2 linked regions of the Pelodiscus sinensis genome follow. The protein of the gene in region 1 purifies or fractionates together with the protein of each later gene. This does not show direct contact. Links are inferred from orthologs where the notes say so. Each region holds a gene or a part of one and is shown on either strand. Other genes may lie near its edges.

The links. Proteins that work in one complex are often made in the same cells at the same time.
Region 2: the proteins of GPC1 (region 1) and HADHB purify together in Homo sapiens (co-immunoprecipitation; 3 studies listed by BioGRID and IntAct, counting the BioPlex papers as one, with this or other methods). This does not show direct contact. The link is inferred for Pelodiscus sinensis from reciprocal best matches to the Homo sapiens genes GPC1 and HADHB.

Annotation. Positions count from the first base shown.
Region 1 is NC_134720.1:8,556,065-8,563,799, forward strand, and holds the start of GPC1 (glypican-1), read right to left. Parts: upstream 3,152-7,735; 5' UTR 2,576-3,151; coding exon 2,419-2,575; intron 1-2,418. UniProt on the Homo sapiens protein: Cell surface proteoglycan that bears heparan sulfate. Binds, via the heparan sulfate side chains, alpha-4 (V) collagen and participates in Schwann cell myelination.
Region 2 is NW_027465862.1:360,442-367,927, forward strand, and holds the start of HADHB (trifunctional enzyme subunit beta, mitochondrial), read right to left. Parts: upstream 3,065-7,486; 5' UTR 2,938-3,064; exon of another isoform or gene 2,858-2,937; intron 1-2,857. Other genes in the region: HADHA (trifunctional enzyme subunit alpha, mitochondrial), read left to right, coding at 3,167-3,245. UniProt on the Homo sapiens protein: Mitochondrial trifunctional enzyme catalyzes the last three of the four reactions of the mitochondrial beta-oxidation pathway.

The sequences.
Region 1 (7,735 bases):
CAGAATTTGGTTGCTTAACGTAAGTCATTTGCTAATTAAGATAGAGCTATATTCTACCCCGTACCTTTGGGGATATGATAAAGTGGTCTCTTAAGACAAGATCTTACTTGTCATGGATGGTTACACAGTTGTCACTAAAAAGCCATTTGAGACACCCTTATTCTGAAAAAGTAAACAGTATGTGCATTCCATGTATAAAATAATCAACAAACCAGAACCATACACAATCTGGGCCAACTCAAAATTGACATTTTCACAGTAAAACGTTTTATCTACATTATCTATATATTAGAGATATTAAGAGAGTACAGATGACAGCTTCAAACTTCTAAACATTTAGAACTTAGAATTTAGAAGTACACGTGACAATCACCAACAATGAACATGAAGCGTTCTCATTTTGTATTTTAAGTACACAATTGGCTGCACTATCAGCAGAACGTTCACATGTGAAGACAGTATTCCCCCATTTGTCTCAGTTCATTCCACCAATTTTTACAATATTTATCTGTACAGTTTCACTGTCAGAGGTAAACCATTTGTTCCTATAGTTCAAACATTATTGCTTAAGATTGCAAACGTGAATACTGGTAATTCTTTAGAAATAATAAACCTTGTTCCTAGAAATCTGTCTCCTCTTATTTCTTTACCAACCTCAGCATTTTTAGAAGTTTTGAACACAGTTTTGAACACAGTGACCCTGAGGGTACAAGATATTTATATCTTATGCAATGCATATCACACAATTCTAAAATATGACCAATGCTGAAGCTCATTTCATTTAGGGTTTCATGTACTCTTCCTCATTATATTGTTTCTTAAAATGTTTACGCCCTTGAAGACTTTATAAGCAGCATGAGCTATTTAAGCAGCATGAGATATTTAAACAATCCTTTACGGATATCTGTAGCCAAGGGGAAAGGGTCTTTTTTTGCTTAGCTGGATTAATTGCATCCCCTCCCCCATTTTTCCCCAAACCCCTTAATTTAAATAGGTTTTAAATTCTCCACTATTTCACTTTCTGAAACCTTCCATTTTACTTTAATATCCACCTTTCAACAAAGAAAAAGTTCACATTTGTATGGCAACAAGTTCAGCCTTCTCCATTTGTATGTCAGCTGATGATAATAATGTCCCCATAAAACTACATTATGAAGTATTCATAAGAAATTCTGCAGCTTAGGAAAGAACTACAAACTGCAATCTAACTGAGATGTCCCTGAAGGTTGGCTCTGGCACGTACACTTGCATGTCTTAATGCTTTGTCTGAACTAAGTAGCTCCCACAAGTGAGCAAGAAAGCTCTTAGATATGGGTCACAAGTCTGTGAATCAGAACTTCGGCAAAGCTTTACAAACAAAAATAAATGCAGATTTTTCAAAAACATAAACCAAACCTTGAAATATTCCTTATGTTTCAGAGATTTTCTGAAAACTCCTCTTTATTTGCCAAAAAACAGACACGACCCTCCCCCATCTAGTTTGTATTTCACATGCAATATTAATATAGCAGAAATCAATTCTGATGTAGATGACTGGGGTTGTTTCAAACACCTGATAAAAATCATTTGACACTTAAATTTTTAACTGACAAATGCCTTTAAGCTGGTTTTCATCCAACAGAACATTATAAACAAAAGTTATTCTCTTTTGTAACTATGGGGCACTTTCTAGCTTTGAAATCAAATCCATAGGATTTTGATGATCCTGAGTTCTAACCCAAATCCTCCAGTTCATTGTAATTGTACAATAATGAAAACACCGGACAGCAATCACCTAATATCTCCTTTAAACATGCTTGCACCACAGAAAATCAAGACAGATCTCGTCTATCGGAAGACTTTGCAAGTGCTAAGAAGGGCTGGTGTGCCACATCTGGGGATGCCCTCCTCCTGAAGACATCTAAGGTCTGACTTCACCACTCCCTTACTTCTAACTGACTGACTCCTTAACAAAAATCACAAGCCTACAAGAAATCGTTTTTCTCCACAACACTCCAGAACAGACTGAAGTTGATATTTATTGCCGAGGAACCTATTGCACTGGTCCCGTGGGAAGGCGAGACTAGGAAAATCACACCATTGTTTGGATGGATCACTGTGCAATTGGTGGGCTCCTTCACGAGAAATCGGATGGGAACAGACGAAGACACGCGGGGATGCTGTACAGAAGGGGGATCCCCTCCCAATGCCTCCGGAGCCGCTGCCCAACGCCCCCCACCCCGGTTTGCATCCCGCACAGAGCGCCGTCCTGCCAGAGTCGCAGCTTCCCGCAGCGGCGGGCTGACAAAGCGGAGTCCCTTTGTATCGCGGCAGCGCGGCGGCGAAGCGGCTCCGGGCAGAGGTTGCCCCCTGCGGGAGCGGCTCTGCAGCGCGCTGCCGGGTGTCCGGGGCAGGGGCGAGGCGCGGAGGGAGGCTCACCTGAGATCTCCGCCTGGGGGACCCCGGTCTGGCTGAACCCTTTGGCCACGTAGAACAGCCGGACCTCGGCGCAGCTCCTCGCCTTGCTGCCGCTGTCCCCCCGCGCCGGGGCGGCGGCGACGCACAGCAGCCACAATCCCCACGGGAAGAAATGCATCCTCCTGCCGCGCCGAGCCCCCGAGCCCGCTGCGCGAAGGACGAGCCCAAGGTCCCGCTGCCCCGCCGGCTCCGCCTGCGCCCGGCGCTCGCTCACTGGCTCGCGGGTGGCAGCTCAGTCCCGCCGGCCCCCTCGCATCCCGGCCGCTGCTCACGAGACCAAGCCCCGCTCCGGGGAAATCAGGCGGCGGGGGCGGGGGCGCAATCCCCACCCCACAGGCACGAGCCCGCGGGACTGGGCAGGGCGAGCTCCCGGGAGCGGCTGCCACTGCCAGCAGCGCGGCGAAGGGGCCAGTCCCGGCTCCGCTGGGCTGAGCGCGCGGGGCTGGGGCAGCTGCCACCGGGGGGGAGCCGGGCCAGCCCCGCTGGCGGGAACACGCGCCGCGGGGGGCGCTGCCAGCGAATAGCCAGCCCCGGCGGGTTGGGCAAAGTTGGAGGCCGGCAGCCAAGGGGCGCGCTAGCGGCTGGCGGGGGCTGCAGCGCCCGGGGCGAGCGCGCGTCTCCCCGGCAGGAGCAGTGAGCCCGGCCGGCTGCAGCCGCGCACCACCTGCAAAGAGGGCGAGGGCGGGGAGGCTCCGCGGCAAGGCAGGGCTTCCCCCGCCGGACGTGGCATCATGCAGCCCCTGCGCCAATCAAGGGCGGGGAGCGGCCCTCCCCCTGCCTTGCCCCCAGGCTCCTCCCCGCGCCTCGCCGGGGTCGCTCCTGTGCGCTCGGTGGGGGGCGCGGGCCTGCGCCGCCGGCCGGCTCCCCGCGTGCTGACAGCCGCCGCCACCTGCTCGCTGCCATAGGTCAGCGTGCGAGGGCCGCCCCCGCCCCCTGGGCATCTCCCGGGGCCCCGGACCAGCCCGTGCCGCGGGCGCCACGCAGGGCGCCCGCCTGAGCTCCACGCCATGCCCCATCGCTCCGCGGCGCGCGGCACAGGGGCTGCATCAGCGCGCCGGGCAGGTGGAGCGTTGCCCGGGCTTTGTCCGAAGAGCCAAGCCTGCTAAGGAATGGCAGGAACTGTAGCGTCCTTAGGAGGGGTTGTCGTGTTTCAAGGAACACCTCGTGTCAGCAGCACCTACACCCTGAGCTGCTGCAACTGATTAACGGGGGAGTTTCTGCATAAATTCAGCTCGTTCTGCTTGATCCCACTCTCAAGCTGTTTGAAAAACACTGGCACTGACTGAGCACTAGAATTCTTCCAGTCCTGGTTAGGGATGTAATAGTGTAGTCACATAACCATAAGCAAAGCGCATATGCTATAGACTAGAGACGTTTCCCTCCCACTTCTTGCCAGTATACTTTTTAGCAGATCCAGGACCTACTCCTGCTATGGTTCTGCATTTAAAGTGTATTAGGAGCTAGGTGGGCGAGGTCCAGGAATTTAGCCCTGCCTCCCACCCCAGGACAGGGGGTGCTGCCTCTGTGTCAGAGGGGGCAGCCCAGGGCTACAGGCAGCCGGTCTGCAAGGGAAGCTGGTTTTTAAACCAGCTCCTGACTGGCACCCCACGCTGCTGCCTCTGATACAGAGGCAATAGCATGGAGTGGCAAGGGGTTCCTCAGGAGTGGAGCCAGAGTGCACTGGCTGCCAGCCCTACCCCCGGGGACTATAGGATAATCGAATAATCAGTAAGAATTCATAAGGTTAATCAACTATTCAATTAACCGATATTTAACATCCCTAGTCCTGGTCCCTGGAGATTTTCTTTCACAATCAGATATCTAAGGGATACTCACTCTTTTGGCATTAATAAAGAATGCCAAAGACTGGCCCACAAATACAAAGACACAAGCTACCACAAGGTTAGAATATGTACAATTTGATTAAAAAAAATCGTACCTGGATTGCAAGTTATTGCCCTGGCAAATCTGTATTTGAAACTGTGTGTGAAAATGGAACCAGCTTTATTCTGTTCATTGACACATGAGAATAAAACTGGCCTTAGTAAAGTCTTTATTCATTTGTAGAATGGTGGCAGTTAGAGGTAAGGTTGCCCATTTTCTAATCCAACAAAACCAAACACCCTTGCCCCACCTCTTCCCTGCAATTTTATATCCCCAGAATCTGAGCCTTAGCTTCATAGGCATCCGGTAGCCTAGGTGGGGGAAGGCTTTGCCTTCCCAGACCGCAAGGCACAGCCTCACCCACACTCTGCCCCCAGAGCACCTGCTGTAAATGTTCTGGGGTGGAGTGTTGCTGCCCCTAGCGCCCACCCTCCCCGTGCTCCTGGCCAGGGAGCCTGGAACCACACAGCCTCCTCCCTCCCACCGTGCTCCGTCATGCAGCCTCCTCCCTCCCACCGTGCTCCAAGAGCTGCAACGCGCAACCTCCTTCCTCCCCCAATGCTCCAAGAGCTGGGGAGATGGGAGCCACGAGATGCAATGCAACCTCCTCCCTCCCCAGTGCTCCAGGGTCCGGTGAGGTTGGGGCACCCCCATGCACCCCTAGCATCTCTTCCCCTCCTTGTGGGCACATGTATGCTGCCCTGCCTTCTCCCCTCCCTGTGGGGGGGAGGGGGCTCAGCAGAGGGGCTGGGGCTGGGGGACTACTGCCTTACTGAGAATATTTAAATAAATACATAAATGATTGTGAAGTGCTCAGATACTATGGTGACAAGAGCCAAATAGATTCATTTTTGATTCAAGACAAGAGCCATCTAACTTGACATACTGTACAAAACTGAGAAAACAAATGCATATCGATATTAAAGGATTGGGTGGTTTTTACTGAGAAAGTTTGAATATACACCAAGAATTTTAAGCAATTTCAAATACATTATCAAAACATGAAAATATACTTTACTGCATCTTACAAAATATGTAGAGAATTAAACTCTTGCCTGTGGACATTTGAGGGTCAGATTCGCTTTGTGAACTCTGACTTTTTTTCAACATTTTGAATTAAACAAATTAGAAAGTGAGTTAATATGAAAACAGAAGATCTTCCATTTGTAGATTCTAGAAACCTTCAGTTATTTAAGGAAAACAGTGATTTAGAAGAGGGGAAACAGAAACAGTGGAGCAAGGAAAAAGACTGCAGGAAAACATAAAAGGTGTAGATAGAATGAAGAGAAAAGAACACAAAATGCCAGCAACTTAGGGAAAGAGAAGCAGAAAATCCATCCTGCAACAGATAGAAAGCCTCTTGTCAGTCACAGACAAAGTGCTGCATCTAGAAAAGTAGACTCAGGCACTGAAAAGTGACAGGTGTGATATAGAAAGGTCAATTCATCTGGCACGAGGTAAGAATAAAAAAATGGGAGTGGGGAGTTGGAAAGGAAAAGAGAGTAAGGTTGGCATGATATGTTTGGAAGCGTCATCTAATTTTCAAAAGTTTACATGCACACTTGAGTCTTCTCTCCAGTTGATGCAAATCAGGAACAATCACACAGTGGAATTACATGGACCAAATCCTCAATTGGTGCAAAAACGTAGCAATGCTGAGTTATAGCAGTCAAGTATCTGACCCACAAAAGTATAAATCAGATGATCTTGTTCCATGTTGAGTCTGATCCTCTGTTGCCCTAATAATGTATGACCATTTGTAACAATATACAAAGAATGTAATGCACCACCATTCTGATTTATGTGCAGATAGTCAGGCAATTTGAGTTTAAAACAGAGGTAAAGTAGGAGCGTCCTTAGTATCTTTTTTTCCAGGTTCTCTTCTCCGAGGCTATACCTAACTTTGATACTAAACCATGAAAGCCACCTCCTACACCCAGGTTGACTTGTGCTCAGCAGGAGCTGAACACACGTCTTCCTGATTCAGGTCTAATTCACTTATCTAGGGGCATGTCTACACTAGGAAATTATTTCAAAATAACTAAATTCAAAATAATAATTCCAGAAATAACTATTTCTATATAAGCCTATTTCCCAAGGAAAGCAAGAGAACAGATTTCGAAACGACCAGCCTGTTGTTTCAAAATAACAGGGTTGGTAGTGTGGACATTCTGCTTATTATTTCAAAATATTTTTTTCCAATATAACTGCTTAGTATAGACCAGGGCTAGCAGATTTATTAGATTTCACCCTGCTTTCTGGTGCTGTTTATTTCTGAACAAAATCTTTCTTATTAGAAAATCATAAGGTATTCCACTCAACCTAAACTTTATTGGCATGCACAAGAATAGTGTGCTCAGTTATTTTGTTGATAGATGTTATAAGATCAAAGTCTCCTTAAATTGTCAGAGGATCTATGTCCAGCTCACGATTCCAGCTTGATCTCACACAACTAAGTAAGAAAGCCATTTGTCCATCTTAAATGCTAAGACTTGAGGATTTGTGTGTCTGTGTTAATTAATCAAGGGTATTGTTCTATATGACATCAAGAGCTGGAGATTGTTCTCAGGGGTCTGACCCTGCTCCTCTTCTAAATCAATGGCAAAGCTCTTATGGACTTAAGTGGTTCAAAATCCGGCCCCAGATATAGGAAAACCAATAATTCTTGCTTCTGCTAAAGAATCAAGAAGGCAGTGGCTCTCAAAGATGCAATACACAGCAGGATAGAACACTGAGTGCAATATAACATAGATACACAATATAACGTTGAGTGCAATATAACATATGTGCGCTATTCTGGTCTCCCATGTCTAAGAAAGATGCATTCAAACTGGGACAGGTGCAGAAAAGGACTACTAGGATGATCAGAGGACTGGAATACCTATTTTATGAGGGGAGACTCAAAGAGCTTGGCTTGTTTAGCCTAACCAAAAGAAGATTGAGAGGAGATATGATTGCTTTCTAAAAATACATCAGAGGGATAAATACCAGGGAGGAAGAAGAGTTATTTAAATTAAGCACCAATACGGACACACGAATAAATGGATATAAACTGTCCATCAACAAGTTTAGGCTTGAAATCAGATAGTTTGTAGCTGTCAGAGGAGTAAGTTCCGGGAAAGCCTTTCAAGAGGAGTAGTGAGAGCAAAAACCCTAATGAACTTCAAGACTGAACTTGATAAATTTACAGAGGGGATGGTGTGATGAGGCTTTCTACAATGGCATGGTAGCCGATCTACAACTGCCAACAGTAAATATCTCCAAGGGCACATCTGCATAGCAACATTATTTCAAAATAACGTAGTCTGCGTCTACACAGCAGGCAGTTCCTTTAAAACAATGTCAAAATACTGTCAACCTGAGGACGTCTTACTCCAACCCCCGTAACCCTCAT
Region 2 (7,486 bases), on another chromosome or scaffold:
AACCCTCTGCCCCTCACAGCGCTGCCCCTCCTACAGCCAGGCCCCGCCTCCTTCAGCCCCCAGCAGCCCTACCCCTCCTGCAGCCAGGCCCCACCTCCTTCAGCCCCTCACAGCCCTACCCCTCCTGCAGCCAGGCCCCGCCTCCTTCAGCCCCCTGCCTCTCAGAGCTCCACCCCTCCTACTGCCAGGCCCCACCTCCTTCAGCCCTCTACCCCTCACAGCCCTACCCCTCCTGCAGCCAGGCCCCACCTCCTTCACCCCTCTGCCGCTCACAGCCCTACCCCTCCTGCAGCCAGGCCCGCCTCCTTCAGCCCCCTACCCCTCACAGCCCTGCCCCTTCTGCAGCCAGGCCCCGCCTCCTTCAGCCCCCCCCACAGCCCTGCCCCTCCTGCAGCCAGGTCCCGCCTCCTTTAACCCTCTGCCCCTCCTGCAGCTAGGCCCCACCTCCTTCAGCCCTCTGCCCCTCACAGCCCTACCCCTCCTGCAGCCAGGTCCCGCCTCCTTCAACCCTCTGCCCCTCACAGCCCTGCCCCTCCTACAGCCAGGCCCCGCCTCCTTCAGCCCCCAGCAGCCCTACCCCTCCTGCAGCCAGGCCCCACCTCCTTCAGCCCCTCACAGCCCTACCCCTCCTGCAGCCAGGCCCCGCCTCCTTCAGCCCCCTACCCCTCACAGCCCCGCCCCTTCTGTAGCCAGGCCCCGCCTCCTTCAGCCCCCTACCCCTCACAGCCCCGCCCCTCCTACAGCCAGGCCCCGCCTCCTTCAGCCCCCTACCCCTCACAGCCCCGCCCCTCCTACAGCCAGGCCCCGCCTCCTTCAGCCCCCTGCCCCTCACAGCCCTGCCCCTCCTACAGCCAGGCCCCGCCTCCTTCAGCCCCCTACCCCTCACAGCCCCGCCCCTTCTGCAGCCAGGCCCCGCCTCCTTCAGCCCCCTACCCCTCACAGCCCCGCCCCTTCTGCAGCCAGGCCCCGCCTCCTTCAGCCCCCTACCCCTCACAGCCCCGCCCCTTCTGCAGCCAGGCCCCGCCTCCTTCGGCCCCCTGCCCCTCACAGCCCCGCCCCTCCTGCAGCCAGGCCCCGCCTCCTTCAGCCCCCTACCCCTCACAGCCCCGCCCCTCCTGCAGCCAGGCCCCGCCTCCTTCAGCCCCCTGCCCCTCACAGCCCCGCCCCTCCTGCAGCCAGGCCCCGCCTCCTTCAGCCCCCTGCCCCTCACAGCCCCGCCCCTCCTGCAGCCAGGCCCCGCCTCCTTCGGCCCCCTACCCCTCACAGCCCTGCCCCTTCTGCAGCCAGGCCCCGCCTCCTTCAGCCCCCCCCACAGCCCTGCCCCTCCTGCAGCCAGGCCCCGCCTCCTTCAGCCCCCTGCCCCTCACAGCCCTGCCCCTCCTGCAGCCAGGCCCCGCCTCCTTCAGCCCCCTGCCCCTCACAGCCCTGCCCCTCCTACAGCCAGGCCCCGCCTCCTTCAACCCCCTACCCCTCACAGCCCCGCCCCTCCTGCAGCCAGGCCCCGCCTCCTTCAGCCCCCTGCCCCTCACAGCCCTGCCCCTCCTGCAGCCAGGCCCCGCCTCCTTCAGCCCCCTGCCCCTCACAGCCCTGCCCCTCCTGCAGCCAGGCCCCGCCTCCTTCAGCCCCCTACCCCTCACAGCCCCGCCCCTCCTGCAGCCAGGCCCCGCCTCCTTCAGCCCCCTGCCCCTCACAGCCCCGCCCCTCCTGCAGCCAGGCCCCGCCTCCTTCAGCCCCCTGCCCCTCACAGCCCCGCCCCTCCTGCAGCCAGGCCCCGCCTCCTTCAACCCCCTACCCCTCACAGCCCCGCCCCTCCTGCAGCCAGGCCCCGCCTCCTTCAGCCCCCTGCCCCTCACAGCCCCGCCCCTCCTGCAGCCAGGCCCCGCCTCCTTCAGCCCCCTGCCCCTCACAGCCCCGCCCCTCCTGCAGCCAGGCCCCGCCTCCTTCGGCCCCCTACCCCTCACAGCCCTGCCCCTTCTGCAGCCAGGCCCCGCCTCCTTCAGCCCCCCCCACAGCCCTGCCCCTCCTGCAGCCAGGCCCCGCCTCCTTCAGCCCCCTGCCCCTCACAGCCCTGCCCCTCCTGCAGCCAGGCCCCGCCTCCTTCAGCCCCCTGCCCCTCACAGCCCCGCCCCTCCTGCAGCCAGGCCCCGCCTCCTTCAGCCCCCTGCCCCCCACAGCCCTGCCCCTCCTACAGCCAGGCCCCGCCTCCTTCAACCCCCTACCCCTCACAGCCCCGCCCCTCCTGCAGCCAGGCCCCGCCTCCTTCAGCCCCCTGCCCCTCACAGCCCCGCCCCTCCTGCAGCCAGGCCCCGCCTCCTTCAGCCCCCTGCCCCTCACAGCCCCGCCCCTTCTGCAGCCAGGCCCCGCCTCCTTCAACCCCCTGCCCCTCACAGCCCTGCCCCTCCTGCAGCCAGGCCCCGCCTCCTTCAGCCCCCTGCCCCTCACAGCCCCGCCCCTTCTGCAGCCAGGCCCCGCCTCCTTCAACCCCCTGCCCCTCACAGCCCTGCCCCTCCTGCAGCCAGGCCCCGCCTCCTTCAGCCCCCTGCCCCTCACAGCCCCGCCCCTCCTGCAGCCAGGCCCCGCCTCCTTCAGCCCCCTGCCCCTCACAGCCCCGCCCCTCCTGCAGCCAGGCCCCGCCTCCTTCAACCCCCTACCCCTCACAGCCCCGCCCCTCCTGCAGCCAGGCCCCGCCTCCTTCAGCCCCCTGCCCCTCACAGCCCCGCCCCTCCTGCAGCCAGGCCCCGCCTCCTTCAGCCCCCTGCCCCTCACAGCCCTGCCCCTCCTGCAGCCAGGCCCCGCCTCCTTCAGCCCCCCCCCCACGTAGTCCCCCGTCCCCGGCAGCGCCTCCCCCTCCAGCCACCTGCAGCGATCCCCTCCCCCACGCGGGGCGGGGCGGGGCCACGCGCCAGGGACCCGCAGGGCTCGCGCCGCGGCCGTTACCGTCGCTACGCGGTGGCGGCCCCGCTCGCTGCCCTGGGCGGTGCCTGCCTCAGGAAAGCCCCCGCCGGCCCTGCCGTAGCTGCCCTCGCCGGTGCCTGAAGGCAGCCCGCCCCGCGCCGCGCCTGGGCTGGGCGAGCCAATCAGGCAGCGCCGCGGGCAGCCCTGGGGGGTGCGAAGGCCCCGCGCCTCAAGGACCCGCCCCGCCGCCGCTTCGACCTCCCCGAGCAAGATGGCGGCCGCGGTGCGCGCGATCGGGAGCCTCACGCGCTTCACGGCCGCCGCCAAGTACTGCGCGGCCCGCCGCCTCGGTGAGGGGCTGGGCCGGGGGGGGGGGCGCGCTGCCGAGCCCCGCCCCGCCCCGGCTCGCCGTGCTGCGCTCCCCGCCGAGTGCCTGTCTGGGGCCGCCGGCCGGGCGGGGCTGGCAGCAGGAGCCCGGGGAGCTCAGCGCGGGGCCTGGCCACACGCAGCAGCCCGGCCCGCCAGCAGTCGGGTCACAGGGGTTCTGGCTCTGCCGCGGCCCTGGCTCCCGGCTCCCGGACCCCGGCCCCCCCGGCCCCCCCGGCTCCCGGCCCCCCCGGCTCCCCCGGCTCCCGGCCCCCCCGGCTCCCGGCCACCCTGGCCCCCCCGGCCCCCAGCATCCCCGGCCGCCCCGGCCCCCCCGGCTCCCGGCCCCCCCGGCCACCCCGGCCCCCCCGGCCCCCGGCCACCCTGGCTCCCGGCCGCCCCGGCCACCCTGGCCCCCAGCCACCCTGGCTCCCGGCACACGCCTGCTGCGGCAACAAGCTCTCCCCAGGCGGCTATCCCACCTCCCCCAAACCCCTGGCCTGGGGCTCTCAGGTTGTGCTGCTGCTCCCTGTTCATTTCCCGGGGCGGGTGATGAATGTTAGTGACTAGCGGAGATCATTTGCAGTTAATGGATTTGATGCGGGAAGGTGGCTGTGGCAGTGTGCTCGTAGAGCTCTCCCAGTGCTCTAGATGAACAGCCTCTATGCTTGGGGCATAGTTCCCAGTGCTGGGAGCCTGTTTACACCCACACTTCACAGCGCTGTAACTTGCTGTGCTCGGGAGATGCTTTGTCACACCCCTGAACAAGAAAGTTACAGCTCAGTGACCTGACAGCCTGGTAGCACAGCAGTATAGACAAGCCGTTAGTCTGACTGCTTTCAGTCAAGTCACAGGAATGATTTGACATCTGATCAGAGTTTGTTGGTTTGTGGAATTAAGTGGGCTCTTAATTCAGTGACCCAGTCCTTCTCCTGCAGTTGTCATTCGTCTGGTCCTTTCTTTTTCTGCTCAGCAGAGGTGCCCCAGGCACTGAGCTCCCCATATTCCTGCGGTGAGGGTTTCCTTCTGCGAATGCACAGCTAGAGAGCTGGGTTCTCCTCTGAATTTACACTTGTAACTGTCAGAATGATACACGATTGTACACACCATGGTAAGAACATAAGAATGGCTGTACTGGGTCAGACCAAAGGTCCATCTAGCCCACTAGCCTGGTGTCTGTAGTTCCTTGTTTTCAGGATTCGCACTAGGGATATAATAGTGCAGTTGATTAACTGATTATCTGATAAGCAAAAGCTTATAAGTTAATGCCATAGACTACACGCATTTCCTTCCCCTCACCAGGCAGGGGCTGCTGCCACCCTGCGCTGTTGCCTCTGTATCAGAGGCAGGAACACAGGGCGACAGGCTGGTTTTTAAACTGGCTCTCCTCGTGGACCGGCTCCCCCCGACACCCCACGTAGAGTGGCAGGGGGACTCCTCAGGAGTGGGGCTGAAGTGCACTGGCTTCCAGCCCTGCCCCCTAGGGACTCTAGAATAGTCGGCTAACTGATAAGGATTCATGAGGTTACTCAACTATTCAATTAACCAATATTGAACACCCTCACTTTGGCTGACAGTGCCCTCCCTTGAAAGTATGTGTTGGTTGGACCCCCAGTTCCTCAGAGTTGATAGCAGTCTGCCTGGAATAGTCTTTTGTTCTTCATGCCCCTGAATCAGTGTTTGGCAAACTTTGGGGTGGTTTTTTTGCGGGGGGGATGGGCAAGTACTTGCAGTGGCAGGGCAAAAACTGAGGCCAAGAGCAGCGCATATGAGGAAAGTTCCATGGTTTTGGGGCCACCCCTGTTGCACACATTCCCACAGCTGCTAGTAAAACAGGCACCGATTGAAAGTCTGTCTTGCACCACTTGCAGCTCCTTGTTCAGCTCACAGGTGTAGGGAGGAAACATGGGCCATCCCAAGCATTTCTTTTCTGCTCCCTTGATGTTCAGCTTAGTTCCAGATCACGAGCCCTGGCACTACGGAGCCACCTATGGATGCTGCTGTTCCCACCTCAAGCAGCATGCAGTCTCCTGGTGAGTCAGGGAGCAGGGAGAGGAGCACAGAAAGAGACCAAGAGTGGAGAAAATGGGGCAGCTGTGTCATGGTGTGGGGGAGTGTCCTCCCTCGGCACACCAGCCAACATTGGGAGCCGCTCCCCTCAGCGAAAGTTCTGTGAGCTAAACACTGGCCTAATAATACTTTGCCCTTATAGTGCTTTCTGCCTAGTGGTTTTCAAGGTGGGCAACTTCCCTGCCTCCATCTCCCATCTATAAACATCCAGTTCTGTTCTGCAAAATAATAGCGCCACATAGTTCCTGTTGATCATTTTACAAGTGAGTGAGTATTTCTTCTGGTCTCTAAGTGCCTAAGTCCAGCTGGGGGTGTTCCTCTGCATTCATTCTCACCAGGAGTAGTTTTGATTAAATTTTGTCTTCAGTAACTCGTGCATCCCCCTTTGTGATGCTTAAATTCATTAATGTCTGTCACATTTTTGGTAACCAATAATGGAAAGCGCTAGAGAAGTGCAAAGTATCACAGAGGCTGTAATCAGTTACCTTCCAAAATTAGTTTATTGTAAAAACAAGCTATTGCAAAACCCAGTGAGTAAATATTTAATTATTCTTTTTTAAAGACTTGAAACAGTTTTTAACCCTTTTCCCCTGCAGTGTTGGAAATCTATTTAAAAGTGGAATTTACTACAATCTATCAACAGAAATGAAACTGACTAATCTCTTTTCATTGCCCTATAAAACATAAGTCATGAACAGTAAATCTCGTTTAAGTCTTTTAGTTCCAGTATAATGGTGAAAACCATAAGGCGGCCTGCTGGTGTTCTGTTTAAAAAGTACGAGAGGGTTTTTTCTGTAATCTTCATTTGTAGAAATTCATGCTGCTAGTTGTACATGATTGGCTCCTGAAAGTAGCAGTGCTATTATTGTAAACTGCCTCTAAGCCACTTTGTATTGTCGCTGTGTTTTGAGCCTGGTTATTGTTTTCCAAGCCTGCTCTGGCCTGTGCAACTTGATAAAGCCAAATTTTCCAGGATAACGTGCATCAAAAGTATGTCACTCCTTTTGCATATTTATTTCTAGGCTGCCAAAACGTTTAAGTGTCTTGGGAGAACAGCAGTGACAAGGTCCCTGACCCAGAGTTGCAATCTAAATAGTGTGCAGGCAGGGGCAGCTCGTGAGCCTAGGCGAGCTAGGCAGCTGCCTAGGGCGCCGCTGGCCCGGGTGTCCGATGATGACATCACGGCCATTGACGGCTGTATAGGCGGGGCGCCAATCGCGCCGCCCCGCCTAGGGCGCCAGCTGCTGCAGTCGGCCTCAGGCCGCTCCTGTGTGCAGGCAAAGGAAGGGGGAGGGTTAGCACGTTTTGTCCCAGGTTATTAGCACCCTTTTTAGCTTTGTGCACGGTTCATCTGTTTTCTTGAAAGTGGTTGTAGAGACCAGGATTTATAGGACTTCCCAGAAAGTCTTTAAGGAGAACTTAAGAAAAAAAAGCTTGTTAGACCATGGAACTTGGGGTGGGGTGTGTGTGTGTGAATGTAGCCCATGAGTTACTTGCATAACTTCATGAAATAAGAGTCTGTATCTTTCAGAAGGTAGGCCTGTTCGGTGAAGTCTGGAGTATTGTTGGCATATGCACAGGGCTCGACGAATCACTGAATCTACTCGCCTGTGGCGAGTAGATTTCAGCCAGTCGCAGCATTCACCGGCGGCGCGCACATGCGCAATGCGGGTCTTGCTCATGCACAGTGCAGGGCTGGCGAGTAGGTTTTGCCGCCGTTTGTCAAGCCCTGCAAATGCAAATCCTTTTTCTACATCTAAAAGCACAGCTGTTAGTGACTTGTGCCGCACTCCCCAGACTTCGCTATACTCTGCCTGTGACTGCAGGGGCGGGCAGAGTTGGGGAAGCTACCAGTGGTGGTCTTGTAATTTAGTCTCAGCTATTCATCTCCTGCACTGTGATGTGCTGTTTTACTCCAAAGGACAAGCTGGATCACCTTATTCCTGGCCTCCAGACTTAATTGCTGCAGCAGTTGCGGGGGTGCTGGCAATGCGAGCACTGTATTTTGTGGTCATCACATGTGGCTGGCTGGCGGCCTGGTGGTTGGAAGCCTAGGCCCTCTGGAGGCCAGACTCGTAGGGCTGTCAAAGATTTCACATGGGGTTTGTAATCCAGGTCTCAAAGTTGGTCGAAAATCCTCTTAAATACCGGCCTG